2 linked regions of the Diceros bicornis minor genome follow. The protein of the gene in region 2 purifies or fractionates together with the protein of the main gene of each other region. This does not show direct contact. Links are inferred from orthologs where the notes say so. Each region holds a gene or a part of one and is shown on either strand. Other genes may lie near its edges.

Region 1 (7,497 bases), on a different chromosome or scaffold from region 2:
AACATCCGTGCCCATCTTCCTCTACTTTATATGGGACGCCGCTACAGCATGGCTTGCCAAGCAGTGCCTTGGTGCGCGCCCGGGATCCGAACCGGCGAACCCAGGGCCGCCGCAGCGGAGCGTGCACACTTAACCGCTTGCGCCACAGGGCCAGCCCCCTAGAATATTCTTATTCTTAAGATATGTACATTTACTATTTAAAGGCAAAGGGCCATGATGTATGCAACCTACTCTCAAATGGTTCAGGAAAAAAAACCTCTGTGTGAAAGGGGAGAGTAACAGAGTGCACATGAACACAAAAGACAAAGCAAAGAGAGAAAATGTTAACAATAGGTAAATCTGGGTAAAGGGAATATGAGCATTCTTTGTATTATTTTTATTCTTACAACTCTTCTGTGAGTTTAAAATTATTTCCAAATAAAAAGTTAAACAAAAAAAAAACAAGAAAGAAAAAAAATTGGCCTCGACTCTCCTTATCCCTTTTTCTCTCAGCACTTAAGATGAGAAAGTGTTCTCTACCCCACCTGCAATGTGCTGGCTTATCTGTTCCTTCTCATTATCTTCCAGTTCTTCCCAACCTTCCAGCTCCGTGAGGTCCTCAATTTTTTTCGTGGTGGCCCGGGCCCGCTCCAGTTTCTCAAACATGCATTTAATGTGGTACCACTCTTTCATATCACCCCCGGAATCTGAGAAGGGATTGGGTACTACTTTGCCGATTCGGCACACCCCCTTCACAATCTTTTCCTTGCATTTTTTGCAGCCAGCTGTGCCACGCTTGGCATAGTCCACACAGAACCGTTGCTCAGCCATCTCACAGGGGCCACTGCAGAGTCCCACATGCAACCTTGGCAAGTAAACAAGGCAGGTGGCACGCGGTCTTAGACTGCCTTCCTGAAATGACAGAAATGGCTTTCTTCTCTGGAGGAAGCAGCGCCCATGAAGCAGATCTGTTTTCGACCAATGGCTGAATTGTCTGATGTCAGGCCAGTGATGTTGTTCTCGGATTAGGCACAGTTCTTTTCGGCTGAGTGCTCGGAGGGTTGGTGGGAAGAGGATCTTGAAAGCCAAAGTCATACAGCTGCATGAAAGGGTGAGTCAGAAAAGGTGAGATACAAACAAGGAGCTAGGCTTCCAATTTTCTCAAAGGTCAAAGTCCTAATACAGTCCATGCTGACTAATCAAACGCATACCAAAGTATTAAAGATTTATTGCCTACAGGATGAAGAAGAGTTCCGATACAGGGAAATTCAGTTTGCAAAAAGAATGTTCAATGATCTAATGTACACATGTATATCTAGTAAATCACAATCAAGAGAATCCAAATAACGTAAAAGCTTTTCTCCAGCCATCAGCAATATCTGATAATCATAATGGATGATGATCCTTAAGTATTACAAGATCCTGAAGTTTCTTTTTAATCACCAATAAAAATGACATTATGTTCATGAAGTTTTTAACGTGAAGTATAACATACATGCCATCCTCAGAAAATAAATAAGCCACTATATAGATTTGTGACTTAATCAGAAGCCCTATTTTGAGAAGCAACTAAACAGAGCCTAGAACAGACTGCTTGGGTTCAAATACTAGCTCATTAGCTACGTGACCTTGGTAGGTTACTTAACCTCTCTGTTCCTCAGTTTCCTCAACTGTAAAATGTGGATGATATTAGTACCTAACTCAAGGGGTTGTCATTCTAAGGGTAAAGCCCTTAGAACAGAGCTGCGCACACACAGGAGCTCAGTAAATACTGGCTCCTATTATAATCAGTGAAGCAGCTATCCTTTAAGCAGAGGCTCCCTATGTGCAATTAGCCTGTTTATAATTCAGCACCTTGAATCAGGGAATGCTGAAGTAACTGGATGGCAAGAATCAAAGAAACTGATAAATCAACCCAAATGGAAATAGGGATCATATCTGCATGGTCTCCCCTCACCTTCTTATATTTTCCAAAGTATCTTCACAGTTCCAAATTGAAATATACTGGAAATTATTCTCAGCATGCACACCGCTTTGTCGTGAAATCGCTACTGGGTTACAACGAAAAGCAGGCTTTATCTACTGCAGCGCAACACCATGCAGAGGAGAGCGCGTGGATGGGAATCACCGATGGGAGTGCAAGGGTGACCGTCCAGTGTAGGGACTACATTACCCCCTCCGAGTCTCAGTTTTCTTATTTCTAAAACGGAAAATAATACCTACCTCACGGATGGCTGGGAAAATTAAAATGAATCCATGGATGATGGGCTGGTGGGGGGGCTCTGACTCCCTGAGAACGCATACAAAATGTGCACATTCATATATGTACATTTTTTCGGAGACAAGGTCCATGGTTTTCATGAAATTCACAAAGGGGTTCTATAACCCGCAGAAGTTCAAGAACCAGAGAGGTGAGGTAGGTGCGAGTATGGCAGGCCCGTAAGGGGAGCTCAGAACACTTCAGGTCTCCACACCTTCCTCGGAGGAGCCACCCGCCCCCGTGATCCTAGGAGCCGAGCGGAGCGCCCTCGCGGCGCCCCACCCTCCGCAGGCCGGCCCGGGAGGCGCTGGGGCGCGGAGGCACAACGCTGCTTTGAGGAAACCATCTGTCCCACAACCCCCAACGGCTGCGGTCTGCATTTCCTCAAAGGGAGGCGAGTTCTAGGAACCGCTGAGGCCTGAACGCAGGCCCGGCGAGCCGCGCCGGGCCGGGAAGTGACAGCCCGGCGGCCGCCTTTCCTGGAGGGCCTGACCGCTTTCGGCGGAGTGGGCAGCGTTACTGGCCGCTAGGGAGGCGGGGAAGCGCGTCCCTCGCTTCGGGCCGGCCGGGGGCCGAGGACACAGCCCGGGGCCGGGGAACGGGACGCGGCGGGAAGGTAAAGGCTCCCGAACGCCTCCCGAAGCGCCCCGACTCCGGCGCGGCCCGAGCGGTGGGCGGGGGCACCCTCCCTGCGCGGCCCGTGGGGGTCCCGGGGAGCGGCGAGCCAACCCCCGTGGGCTCCCGGGGGGCCGCCACGTCACGGAGGGTGTGCCCGGGGCTCCGCGGGCGGGGGAGGAACCGAGGAGCGGCTCCGGGCCGCGCCGAGCCCCGGATCCCCGGCCGCCTCTCTCCCCGCTGCCCGGTCCCGCCGCGCCGCCCCTCACCTGCTTTCCTGGCTCCGGCGCACACCGCAGGCCTCTGACCCGCCGCCCGCAGGCCGCGCGCAGCCACGACGGTTGTAGCGCCTGTCTCTTTAAATCCGGGTCCTAGAGCTGGCGCAGCGCGCAGGCGCAAAGGTCCAGGCCACCCCCCCCCCCCCACACACACCCCCACCCCCCGCCGCGCCACGCTTCTCCCCGCCCCTCGCCTGCCACGTGGGCTGTGGTCCGGTGGGGCGGAGTGAGCCTGTGGGCTGGGTCTGGGAGCGTGGGGGTGGTTGCTTATCTGCGATCGCCGTGGAGTTGCGGGGACGTGGTGGCGCCCGGCGACGCAGCCCGGCTTGAGCTTCTGAGGGTCCTCTGATTTGCTCATAACGTTAGAGATTATCTAGTCCTTAAAGATACTGATTGAGAAACTACATTGTAATAAGCACGGGGAAGGCAAAGACCGCGTCATTCAATCTATTTTTCTGTAATCCCTCTGCCTTGTGTCCCGCGCAGTGCCCAGCTCATAGTAAATATTCAGTAAATATGATTGAATTGAAAAGAGGTACTGGATAGAGAGATATAAAGTGTAAAGGAATGATGGGGAGAGTAACCCCTTGATTGTGTAGAGATTAGGATGGCTATTTTTACAAAAGAATAGCAGGCTCAGAGAAGGTAAGTGAACTTGTTCAGGGTCTAGGAAAGGCAAACAATTGGACAGTGTTAGGTAAGCAAAGATCAGATCCTGGAGGGAATTCTGTGCTATGTGAAAAAGAACTTGGCCTTTAATGTGGAGGGGATGGAGAGCCATGAAGGGCCTTATGGAATAGTAACTACTGTTGAAGCTAGACCGGGGAGAGGCAAGGGAATCAATTAAAAGGTTCTTGGTGCTCCTGCAGGAGCACAGATACTAAAATTAGAAAGATACAGAGAGTAGCATGGCTTCTGCGCAAGGATGACTGCAAATTCGTGAAGCATTCCATATTTTTAAGGAAAAAATTTTTTGCTTTTTCTTTGTATTGTATCTGTAGGAGGTGATGGATGCTAACTAAACTTGCTGCGGTAATCATTTCACAATATATGTAACTCAGACCATAATGCTGCACATCTTAAACTCATACTGCATAGTGGTGTCTGTCAATTATATCTCAATAAAACTGGGTGGGGTGGGAGAAGGTTCTTGTAGTGAGCCACGTGAGAGATGAAAGTGGCCTAGACAAGCTCTGTTATTTGGGGTGGAGAGGAAGGTGCATTTTTTGATAAGCATTTAGTTAAATTATCTTCTTGATAAAATGCTCATTTAGAGATGAGATGAGGATGATTTGAGCGAGCAGGTAGATAATGGTGGCTTCAACTGAAATAGGAAAATGAGAGGGGAGGAGGAGGATGTATTTGGGGTAAAAGGATGAGTTTTGTTTTGAATATATTAAGTTTGGTTGGTTGCGGCCAACCACAGTCCCCCTGTGTGAAGTGAGGAAAGTTTTTAATGTGCCACAGAATGGACAAGGTCTTTGGGATTGGAAGGTCACTGGAGGGTCAAGTCCTAACTCTGGCAGTTGAGCGATACTGAACATATCTCTATCACGGCATTTACTACGTTGTTTTGAAAATCCTCTTGACTGTATCTGTCTTTTTACCCAGCCCTGCGCTGTCATCACGAACCACGTGTGGCTTTCTTGAAGTGTGGCTAGTCTGAATTGAGATGTGCTAGAGGTGTAAAATACACACTGATTTTGAAGATGTGTTGCCAAACAAAAAAAACACTGTAAAATATCTCATTAACATATACTTATGTTACATGTGGAAGTTGATATTTTGGAGGTGTTGGGTTTGATAAAAATATATTATTAAAATTAATTTCAACTGTTTACTTTTTTAAAAATGTGGTGACTAGAAAATATAAAACTGCATACTTGGCTCACATTGTGCTTTTTTTATTGGACAGCACTGCCCTAGACTTCAGAGCTGTTTGTGGAGGGTGACATCTGTGCCTTATGCATCTTTTTATCCTCAGTGCCCAGAACAGCACTGGGCAGATGGTAGGCACTCAGCAAATATTTATGAATAAATGAATGAAACCCATAAGTGAATGGAATGAATGAATGAAACTCTCAAAGTGATAAGCTCCCTCAGAAGGGTGTTCATTACATTGTATCTTTGACAATGTTTGATGTAAATATGCAAAAGGACTCAGGCTCTCGCTGTTTGTTTTGCTTGATTCGAGCTCCAAGGAACCTCTAATGATCTCTTTGACTCAGGCCTCCCACTGTAAAATGTAACTGGGTGTGAAAGTTGGCAGTTGCGTTTCCTTAGAGAACTGGGAACTGCTGCCGAGGAAAATGAGGTAACGGGTGGTGGGAATAGCAGGGCTTTGAAATCACATGGACTTAGGTTTGAATTATATTCCACCCCTGACTGTGTAACCTTCTTCTGTTTTCTTAACTTCTCTGGCCCTCAGTTTTCATGGTGAAATGGGGATAAAAATACCTCTTAGGATTGTGTGTGACGGTTAAATGAGATGGCTTATATTAACTTGCAAACTGCTTGGCATTTAGAGGAATTTCAGTAAATGTATATTCCCCTCCACTCCCCAGCCTGGATACATCCTTACCACTGCAGTTTATCCATTCAGTGAGTCATCAATCAGTGCAGTATTTATGAGTGCCTGCCCTATGTAGGCACTGTGCCAGGAACAGAATGCAGCAGTGAAACAAAGCAGACAAAAAATCCCTGCCCTTGTGGGGCTAACAGGTTAGTGTGGGAGACAGATAATAAACAGTAAGTAAAATGCATGGTGTGTAAGGTGATGATGGTGCTACGGAGAAAAAGAAAGCAGAGGAGGAGGATAGGAGGTGCCAGGGAGGGCGGGGTGGGGGTTGCAGTGTTCAATACAGTGGTCAGGAAGGCCTCACCAACAAGGTGACAACTGAGTAAAGACTTGAAGGAGAGCCACGTGGAGTTCTAGGGTAGAGAGAGCAGCGGGCAAAGGTCCAGAGGCCAGGAAGTCTGTCGTGTTGGGAGATGAGCAAGGAGCTGGGTGTGGCTGGAGCAGCAGGAGTTAAGGTTGAGAGGAGCTGGGGATGAGGTCAGCAGGGTGTCTGGAGACAGATCCTGTAGGGCCTTGTAAACCACAGTCAAGATGTTGGCTTTTACTGCAGGTGAAATGGGAAACTAGTGGATTGTACTGAGCAGAGAAGTAACATATCTGACTTAGGTTTTAACAGGATGGTTATCACTCTGGCTGCTGTGTAGAGAAACTGAGAGATGAGTTAGGATAGCTACTGTAAAAATATAGGGGAGAAATGTGGGCAATTTGGGTGGTAACAGTGAAAGTAGTAAGAAGTAACCTGGGGTTTCTGGATCCCTAGGGAATCTGTGGATGGGCTCACGGGTGTCCTTGAACTCCCTGAAATTTTATATAAATATTTGTGTGTAAGTGCATTTTTGGAGGGAGAGCATCTATTGGAGTCTCAAAATAGTTCCATGATCCAAATCAAGAACTATCTTGGTGACGAATAAGCAGGATACCTCCTGCCTGTTCCCAGTTATTCAAAGTCCCACGATTAAGTCTTTCCCTCAGACCTTGATCCTAAATCCTCCAGCCACTGATGTGTTTGTGAGCCTCTCAGAGCTTCTGCCACTCCCTTTAAGACTGTAGCATCCTTGACTTCCAGTTTAGACTCATTAGGATTGTTAAGAAGAAGGAAAAAAAAATCACAGGGAAATGGGTGGATTCTGTTCGGATTTTATGCTACTCACTGGAAGCTTGGCAGCCACTGGCGGGAACAGAGAAAAGACTTCACACCTTCCTAGAGACAGTGCAGGGCACTCGTGAGGCTAGTTTGAGCTCAGTGGATTCCTTTTTTAATAAGCGCTGGTCTTTGAATCACATAAATCTCAGCACCAAGAGCCGATTTTACGGTTTGGTTTGCTTAATAGTCACACAATTAAAATAAGTTGGGGCTGGCCCTGTGGCTTAGCGGTTAAGTGCATGTGCTCCATTACTGGTGGCCCGGGTTCGGATCCCGGGCGCGCACCAACGCACCGCTTCTCCAGCCATGCTGAGGCCACGTCCCACACACAGCAACTAGAAGGTTGTGCAGCCATGACATACAACTATCTACTGGGGCTTTGGGGGAAAAAAGGAGGAGGATTGGCAATAGATGTTAGCTCAGAGCCAGTCTTCCTCAGCAAAAAGAGGAGGATTAGCACGGATGTTAGCTCAGGGCTGATCTTCCTCACAAAAAAAATAAATAAATAAAATAAAAATAAAATAAGTTGTAAAAAATGATAGTGGTGTTTGCCAGGATAAATATTTAAAGGGAACAGCTGTAGGAAGATGTAATAATTCAAATCAGCTCATGGTTCTTCATTCTCAATAAAGCTGTGGAGATT
Region 2 (7,905 bases):
CTGACTTACAAAATATAGGGGCTATACCTCTTGAATTGAGAAGTTCAGAGAAAAGGCAGCCTTTAAGTGTGCTTCAATGGCATTCTCTCCATCCTGCTGACCTTCATCTAGCAGTTTCATCTTCAGGCTGGTTTTCCTCGTGGTAGCAATATAGATGAGGCAGCTCAAGGTGCAACACCTGCACTCAATGCCATCCAAAAGAGGAGAGGGGCTGTATCCCAAAACTTTTGGCAAAAGTCCCAGAATTTTACATGGTAGCACTGTCTTAGGTCAAATGTCCACATCTTACAGTCACTAGCCTGGGGTTGGTATGTACTCGTTGACTTAGTCCAGTTCACATGCTCCATTTATAAGAATGGAGTAGTGTTTCCCAAAATCTCATGCACCCCCTATGGAGATCAGGGGCAACAAGGAAGAACAAATGAAGAAACTCAATTCTGGTCAGAGTAGCAGTGACTTCCTTGTCTGTTGATGCCCAGCCTCACACTGGCACTTCTATATTCTGCTTTATATCCAAGGGAGCTGGAAAAGGTCATTTTCCAGAATCCACCAACCATTGGTTTCCTGTATTTCTACCAATGGAAGACACCCGAAGGTGCACGGGAGAAGGTGATTCTTTTCTTGTTCCTTGCTCTGGCAGTGGCAGGGGTAGGTGACTGCTGGTGGCCATGAGTTCCTGGATTCCTGCAGCCTCTGAGCATATGGGGTCCTGGCTTCCCATTGTAGCAGTTCAAACAGAAATGCTCCAGCAGCCTCAGGGAGCACGTGAGTAGGCTCCTGGGACACCAGTAAAGCCTCTGCTCCTCCAACCTTAGGACAGCTAGTGACTTTCTGCAGTTACTGATTTCAGAGTATCCTCATCTTCCTTTTAAGGCTCCTCCAGTTTTATGTAATACTTTTGCAACCAATTCACCGCATTAAATTCCCTTTGTTTGAAATACTTAAGGTGGTTTCTGTTTGCTAAATAGGACCCTGACTGATACACTGCTGTGAAAAATGCTTCAAGTTTCTAGGTTATAATTGTATTAAACCAATAATGGATATGCATATCATTCCATAAACAAATAAATAAATGACCAAACGTACATGATTATAAAACAATTTAATGTTGACTTCCTAAATCCTAACCATTTTGAGAAAAATGTGGTATTGCAAAACATATTTGCTGCCTGTACAACTGTAAGCTATTTCCTTTATGTAATAGAGTGCACTAAGTGTCAGTTTTATTAAAATAATAATCTAGTTTTAAAATAAATGATTCCATCAAAAAATAAAATATAGCATTTATTCTTATCTTTCAATATCTTTCAATTCTTATCTTTCAATATATTTAATCTTATCTTTCAATTCAGTGAGAGGTCATGTCATCTAATGAAACAAACGTGGACTTTGGAGATAATATAATAGCTAATATTGTCAATATAAGGCATCTAAAAATCAATACATATATCATGTATACACACAACCAGGGTTAGGAACGGCATGATTGACTTTACAATCAAACTGTAAAATCTGACTCAGTGACTGTTTTGTGTTGGGCTATTTCTCAGGCATACAATTATCATAATTCAGTTGTAACTTCTGAGGCTGCAGTAGAAACACTGAAAACCAGTCAAAGAGAGAGCATTGATTATCACATTAGGTAAAGGAAAAACACAAGCAAAATTGTCTACTATGGTATTATTTACAAAGGAATTCTACTAGAAAAGTACCTATTATTTGATTACTGTAAGTAGGAAAACAGCAAATGGTAGGACGGAGACCAAGTGATGTATCAGCTCTTGGAACAAAATCTTCAATTGAAATGTAAAAGTCTGCTTTCCAAAACTTCCCTTTGGCTTAATTTCTATTCATCTGCTAGCTATAATGACTGGTGCATTCCTGAATCTGGTTTGCTCTGTTTCCAGACATATGAGAAAGTTGTGACCACAGTTATCAGATGATTGCTGGCAAGTGGGAAGAAATCGAGCTTACGGTTGGTACACAAAATAGCCCCAGATCAGTGTCCTCAAATTTTTTGGTCTTGGGATCCCTTTATACTCGTAAAAATTACAGAAGACTCAAAAGAACTGTTGTTTACATGTATTAATCTATCAATATTTACCAAATTAGAAACTAAGACTGAGAACTGTTTAAAATATTTATAAATTCATTTAAAAATAATAAGCTCATTAAGTACAAAAATAACTACATTTTCCAAAATAAAGATAACTTAGTGAGAAGAGCAGCATTATTTTGTTTTGCAAATCTCTTTAATGCCTGGCTTAACTGATATAGCCAAATTCTAATCTCAGCTTCTACATTCAGTCTGTTGGTACAACACATATTATGTAGCCTCTAGAAAACTGCACTGTATGAGAGAGAGAGAGAGAGAGAGAGAGAAAGGCAGCTGGAGTCTTAGTATTATTATTGAAATAATTTTCATCTCTGGGGTCCTCTGAAAGGATCTCAAGGATCCTCGGGGAACACTGGAAAACACTTTGAAAACTACTGCCCTAGATGAGTTACATCAATGGTTTTCAACACATTTTCCACTGTAACACATATAATTTTCTCATGCGTGTTTTCATGGATGTCTTCAGATATTAACTAAACGAAAAGAATATTTTGAAATTAAGGAAAACAAATAACTCAAACATTTTTGGGTGTTGGGAGGATAGTATGGGGAAGAGGTGATGGCTGGAGATGTGCGGTATTCATGAAAGCATTTTATATACTTGTGGGAAAGAGACAGTGGGTTATGAATAGCGAGCAATTCCTTGCAGTCTGTTGCAACTCCTTTATGTTTGATTCAATGAAGCAAAATAGAATGCCAGTGACAGTAACATTATTACAGAGATACCCTGAATTTGTTAGACTCTGATTTATTTCTTTAAGTAAATCACTTGAAAATTTGGACAGTTTAACAATTACTGGAAACCAATTACTTTTAAAACACTTCTGACAATGTTGAGAGGCGCTGTCCTGTATTATTCATAGAGAGAAACTCATCACTGTCTCTCAGGTGACTGGTGGAGATCGGGTGCATACGATTCCATACACTTAGTTCTCCTCTTTATACACAATTACTGACAAATAAGTTCTTATTCATTTATATATTATTTGGTATATAAATGTGTGTGCACATATTCTTTTGTTCATTCGACACATATTTATAGAGAGCCTCTCTAAAGCGTCAGGCACTATTCTTGGCAGTTGGGATACAAAATAGAATACAAATTACTGCTCTCAAGAGATTTATGTTCTAGTGTGGAGAAACACACAATAAAGATGAAAAAGCAAACTAAATCATCCTTATGTTGTGGTAAGTATTAGTGAGCAAAAGTAAAGGAGGGGCATAAGAGATACTGGGAGTGGGTGATGTCATGATTTAAAATAGGGTGGCAAGCAGAGGACTGACTGAAAAGATGGCATTTGAGCACAGACAGAGGGAGGAAGCATGTTCTAAGCAGAGGAAACAGCAACTGCAAAGACTGAGGTCGAAAGCTTATGTAAAGTCGTTTTGGAACACAAGGCTGAGTGAGCAGTTTGGGAGTCAGAGAGGCAATGGTTTTTACTTTGTATTGGGAAGCCATGGGAGAGTGAACAGAGGAGCAGTACGATCTGACATCCTTCTTCATAAGTTTACTTTGGCTTCAGTGTTGTGAATAGACTCAAAGAACAGCAAGGACAGAATCAAGAAAACCAGTCCCTGGGTTATTGCAATAATCCAAACAGATGATGTAGCCTGTAGTACAGGTGGCAAGTAGTCAGATTCTGGATGTGTTTTGAAGGAAGAGCCAACAGATTATTTGCAAAATGGATATGGAACATATGAGAAAGAGAGGAATTAACGATGAGTTTGGATAGGGAAAGATGGAACTATTCACTGAAATGACTAAGATTATGAATGTGGCTGAGGGTATGAAGCCTAGAAAGGCATTTTAGTGGGACTCCTGTTGATTAACTCCTTTAATTAACTGCAGATAGAATATAAATTATAATATTCATTTAGAGAAACTGTTCTAAACATGTGCCTAGAGCAAGTGAAGAACGGTGAATAACTTTTCCTATATTACAAGTATTTACGGATCAGGAAACATATCGGTGTTCTGATCCGGCCTCTATCTTGAACAGGAAAGTCTCTAAGCAAGTCGTTTAACCTTGTTATATCTATTTTTTAATTGATAAAATGAAGAACTGGACTACGTGAACTCTTACAGTGGCTGCCTGCCTCCACAGCCCAGCTGTGCCTGTCTCTGTAAAGTGGGAATAACAAGAGTACCTACCACATAGTTTATTGCCAGCGAAAACGTGTAAAGCACTTAGAACAACGCCTTGCACACTGTTAATGTTAGTATTATACCTTCAGTTACATATCAAATTTTTGCTATTATCTGTTCATGGGGTGTGTAGCATAGACGGATGATAACTTGGAATGTCCTAAAGGTACTTTTTTTTTTTTTTTTTGAAAGAGAACAAGCAGTACTTTGCCAAGGACTCTTCACCCCGAAATCCGGCCAGGCGCGCCCAAGGGCTTCTTCTGGATCTCCAAGCTGGGTTTCTGAGCAGCACCACCTGCTGGTCCCACACGCGCTTACCTCCTCGGCTCCAAATCTCTCTCTGGTAGACCTGCATTCTTTCAGAGTCTTCCGCACCTAATTACAAATTACAAAAATTGCAAACCAAAACATAAAGCAGCTAGAACAATCCAGGCAGCGAAATCGCAGGTCCCCCAAGGCAGGAGCAGGCGGTCCCCCGCGGCGCGCTCCGGGGCGGGGCGGGGCGTGGGGAGTGGGGCGGCGGGGCGGGGCTGGTGCGAGCTCCCGGGCGTGCGGCGCTGCTTCCGCCCCGCGCGGCCCCGCCCCCGCGACGGGCGGTCACGTGACGGCCGCGCGCGTCCCCGGCCGCTGCGGGCTCTGAGGCCGCAGAGAAGACTGCGAGGCGCCCGCGGCCGTGGCCGGAGAGGTGGGAGTCGGGGCGAAGCCCTCGCGGGGGCAGGGCGAAGTCTGCCACTCCGGGACCCTGACTTGGGGGGAGGAGTGAGGGCCCGCGGTGTCACCTCCCGTCGCGACGCGCTCCGGGTGGGCCCTGCGCGCCGGCCTGAGGGGCGGCGGCGGCGGGGTCAGGGGCCGGGACGTCGGTGGACGCCCTTGGGCCGGCGCGGCCGCGGCTGTGGGCGCCCGGGCGGGAGGGGACGGCGCAGGCCTTCCCGCCGCCCCCACTGGGGCTGCTGTCGCAGGCGAGAAGACTGTGGCGGGCTCCGCGCTGTCCCGGCCGCCGCAGCCCGTGCCCTGGGCGACGGCCCGGAGCTGGTCACGGTCGGGGTGCGAGAGGCGGAGCAGCGGCCATTACTGCGCAGCCTCTTCCGCCGGGTCCTCGTCGCTGCCTTGAGCGGCAGCCTGGTCTTCTCCTCTCCCCTCGGTGGTGTTGTCAGGCCTGTGCCCGGGGACCTTTTGGCCTCAAGACTTAGGGGCGGCGATGGTTTGAGGGTGTCCTGCTCCCTGTTTCGCGTGTGGAGGCCTCCGTCCGGGCCTTGGGTCAGATGGCAGCCGGTCCCTGTGTTTTGTCCTCTTCCGGAGTGTCTGTGGCTGTTTCGTTCTCTTCCCCGTCTCTCTCTTTTTTCCTCCTGCTCAGCGTCTGGGTCTGCCCCCATCCGAAGAGCAGCCCCTCCACCTTGTCCTGGTTAAACCCAGCGCTGCATCTTCTTCGTCGTTTTGATGGTTACTAAAGCATCGGAAACATTAAGAGCTCTCTCCGTACCCGTTGAGCCTCCGAAACCTCAGTGCATCTTCAAGCGGAGGCTGTTGCTTTGTTCTTCTGGTTGCTGGGTGCGGAGTTCTCTCCCTACCCCCATCCCGTCTGAACGAGTGCGGGTCTTCCTTGTCGCTATTTCGTTGTCCCTAGACGTCTAGAGAAAGGCTGCAAAATTGTGTTGAGTTCACACACCCATTCTGGCAACTAGATCCTTTTTTCCTTGTTAGCCGTTTTCGTATATGTTTTTGTGTCTTTTCCCTAAGTGCCATTTTAGTGAGCACTTATTTCTCAAGTTTCGAAAGTACGTAACATTTTGTTCAAGTAATATTTTTGTAATATTACAGTGTGAAATTGAGGGAGAAGAAAGCCAAGAAATGATTGAAAACGCTTTGTCTTTGTATGATGGACGTTTCAGGAGCTGGGGCACAGCCCTCCTTTCCAACGTGTTTACTTTTTAAACGGGATGTGAAAGTATAAGATTGGCATTGAAAACAGTATATCGTTACAGAAATTGGAAGACTTAAGACTGTTTTTGTCTTTTTAATAAGTGAATCTATATTTAGACTTTTAAAGACGTGGCATATAGGACACATGAAGAAAATGACCCGAAAAAATAACAGGATTTATGATGTTAGCTTTGCCCTTTTTGTCACCATCAAATATTGTTTATGTTGAGTGTCTGGGTGCTCTAAAACCACATGAAAATAGGTCAAGTAATGTTATTTTACAGAGAAAACTGGAAGAGTGAAAGCCACTCTAGAAGCAGATTTCAGATGTGTTTGTTTTAGCCTGTATATCTTAAATTGGAGCATTTCATTAAGCCTGATCTTTTGATCTTTGATTTAGAATTTATGCTTTAGATGGACCAATGTAAGTTGTGGGCAAAATGAAAACAATGGTCAACATTTGAAGGTTTTTATTATTTACTGGTTGTTAAAATTTGGTGGAATTATAATCATCAGGAAAAAATGTTTTTCCAACTAGCTGATCATTAGACAAGGGAAGAAAAAAAGAAATGGTGTTTTTTCTTTTCGGAGACGTGTGTCAGCTGGTCAATATTTTGTTTCGGTTTCCACCAACTTGAGTTGTCAGAAGAATGGGGGTAGAATATTTTTGAAAGGATCCAAAAATGATTTCTTGATGCTATAGAAGAAAAAGATAGTATTCAATCTTTTCACAGTGTTAGTCTATTCAAAGAATATTATTTTGTGTATTAGCCATTTACTAGCTTGAAACACCTGATACACTGTCAGTTGAGTATTTGAATGCTTTTTTTTTTTCCCCAGCGTTAGTAACAGAAGGTGCTGGGCCATTTTCATTCTCTTGCCTCATTTCTGATTGTGCCTAAGGAACCGGAATTTGTGAAACAGGCTGGATTAGGAACAATCTTTGTGGGTATGGAAACCATCTTATTAACATTCTGCTACAACTACCTGTGCTTATTTATGGACTATTTAGTGTTCATGGCTTATTACTTTTGGGGTTAATTAAAACAAAACCTGTTGTTAAATGCCTGTTAATTAAAGTATTTAGAATTTAGACTTACAGAAATATAGAGTAGGGTGAAATGACTGAGACATGGGAGCTATGACTTGACCAAGGTCACACAGATAATTAGCAGCAGAGCCTTTCTTATTTACATAATGGTTTCAGGCTATGAAACTGCTGTTTGATGTGATTAAAAGACAATATTTGTTTACATTCATATTTCTTGTTTTGTTAAAATACAAAGCCCATATTTTGGGGGGGGGGGGATGTAAAGGTTTAATGCTTGAGTATGAAGATTGTGAAGGCCATAGATTGCCATGCAGTAATTTTTTCAAGGGAAGTGCTATACAATAAGGGAAATAATTCTTTAAAATAGAGTAGTGTAAAGTATTGGGCCCCATTTAGTTGAAATGAGTTTTAACTGAAGACTTGTTTGCAAGTATGACCTGTTCTTTCTGTAAGCCAGTTTTAGCAGAGGATGAGAGGGAAAGCTAAAAATGGAAACATTAGGGCATTTAGTTACATCTCTCAATTTGGGACTCTTTCTTAAGAAACGTTAAGGTGTATCTGTTAAATTACACCCAGTTTCTCTATCCTTCTTTTACTGGCCCTTGTGGTTTTTTTTTTTTTTTTGAGTTTGTGTACCATGAGTTGAAAGGTTTGCAGTATTTTTCTTTTCTG

What was found.
Region 1: the proteins of RNF146 (region 2) and LIG3 purify together in Homo sapiens (co-immunoprecipitation; 3 studies listed by BioGRID and IntAct, counting the BioPlex papers as one, with this or other methods). This does not show direct contact. The link is inferred for Diceros bicornis minor from reciprocal best matches to the Homo sapiens genes RNF146 and LIG3.

What each region holds. Positions count from the first base shown.
Region 1 is NC_080757.1:23,607,546-23,615,042, reverse strand, and holds the start of LIG3 (DNA ligase 3), read right to left. Parts: upstream 3,216-7,497; 5' UTR 3,124-3,215; intron 2,457-3,123; exon of another isoform or gene 2,203-2,456; intron 1,079-2,202; 5' UTR 1,075-1,078; coding exon 525-1,074; intron 1-524. UniProt on the Homo sapiens protein: Isoform 3 functions as a heterodimer with DNA-repair protein XRCC1 in the nucleus and can correct defective DNA strand-break repair and sister chromatid exchange following treatment with ionizing radiation and alkylating agents.
Region 2 is NC_080762.1:10,388,476-10,396,380, reverse strand, and holds the start of RNF146 (E3 ubiquitin-protein ligase RNF146), read left to right. Parts: upstream 1-4,858; 5' UTR 4,859-4,947; intron 4,948-5,687; exon of another isoform or gene 5,688-7,131; intron 7,132-7,905. UniProt on the Homo sapiens protein: E3 ubiquitin-protein ligase that specifically binds poly-ADP-ribosylated (PARsylated) proteins and mediates their ubiquitination and subsequent degradation. May regulate many important biological processes, such as cell survival and DNA damage response.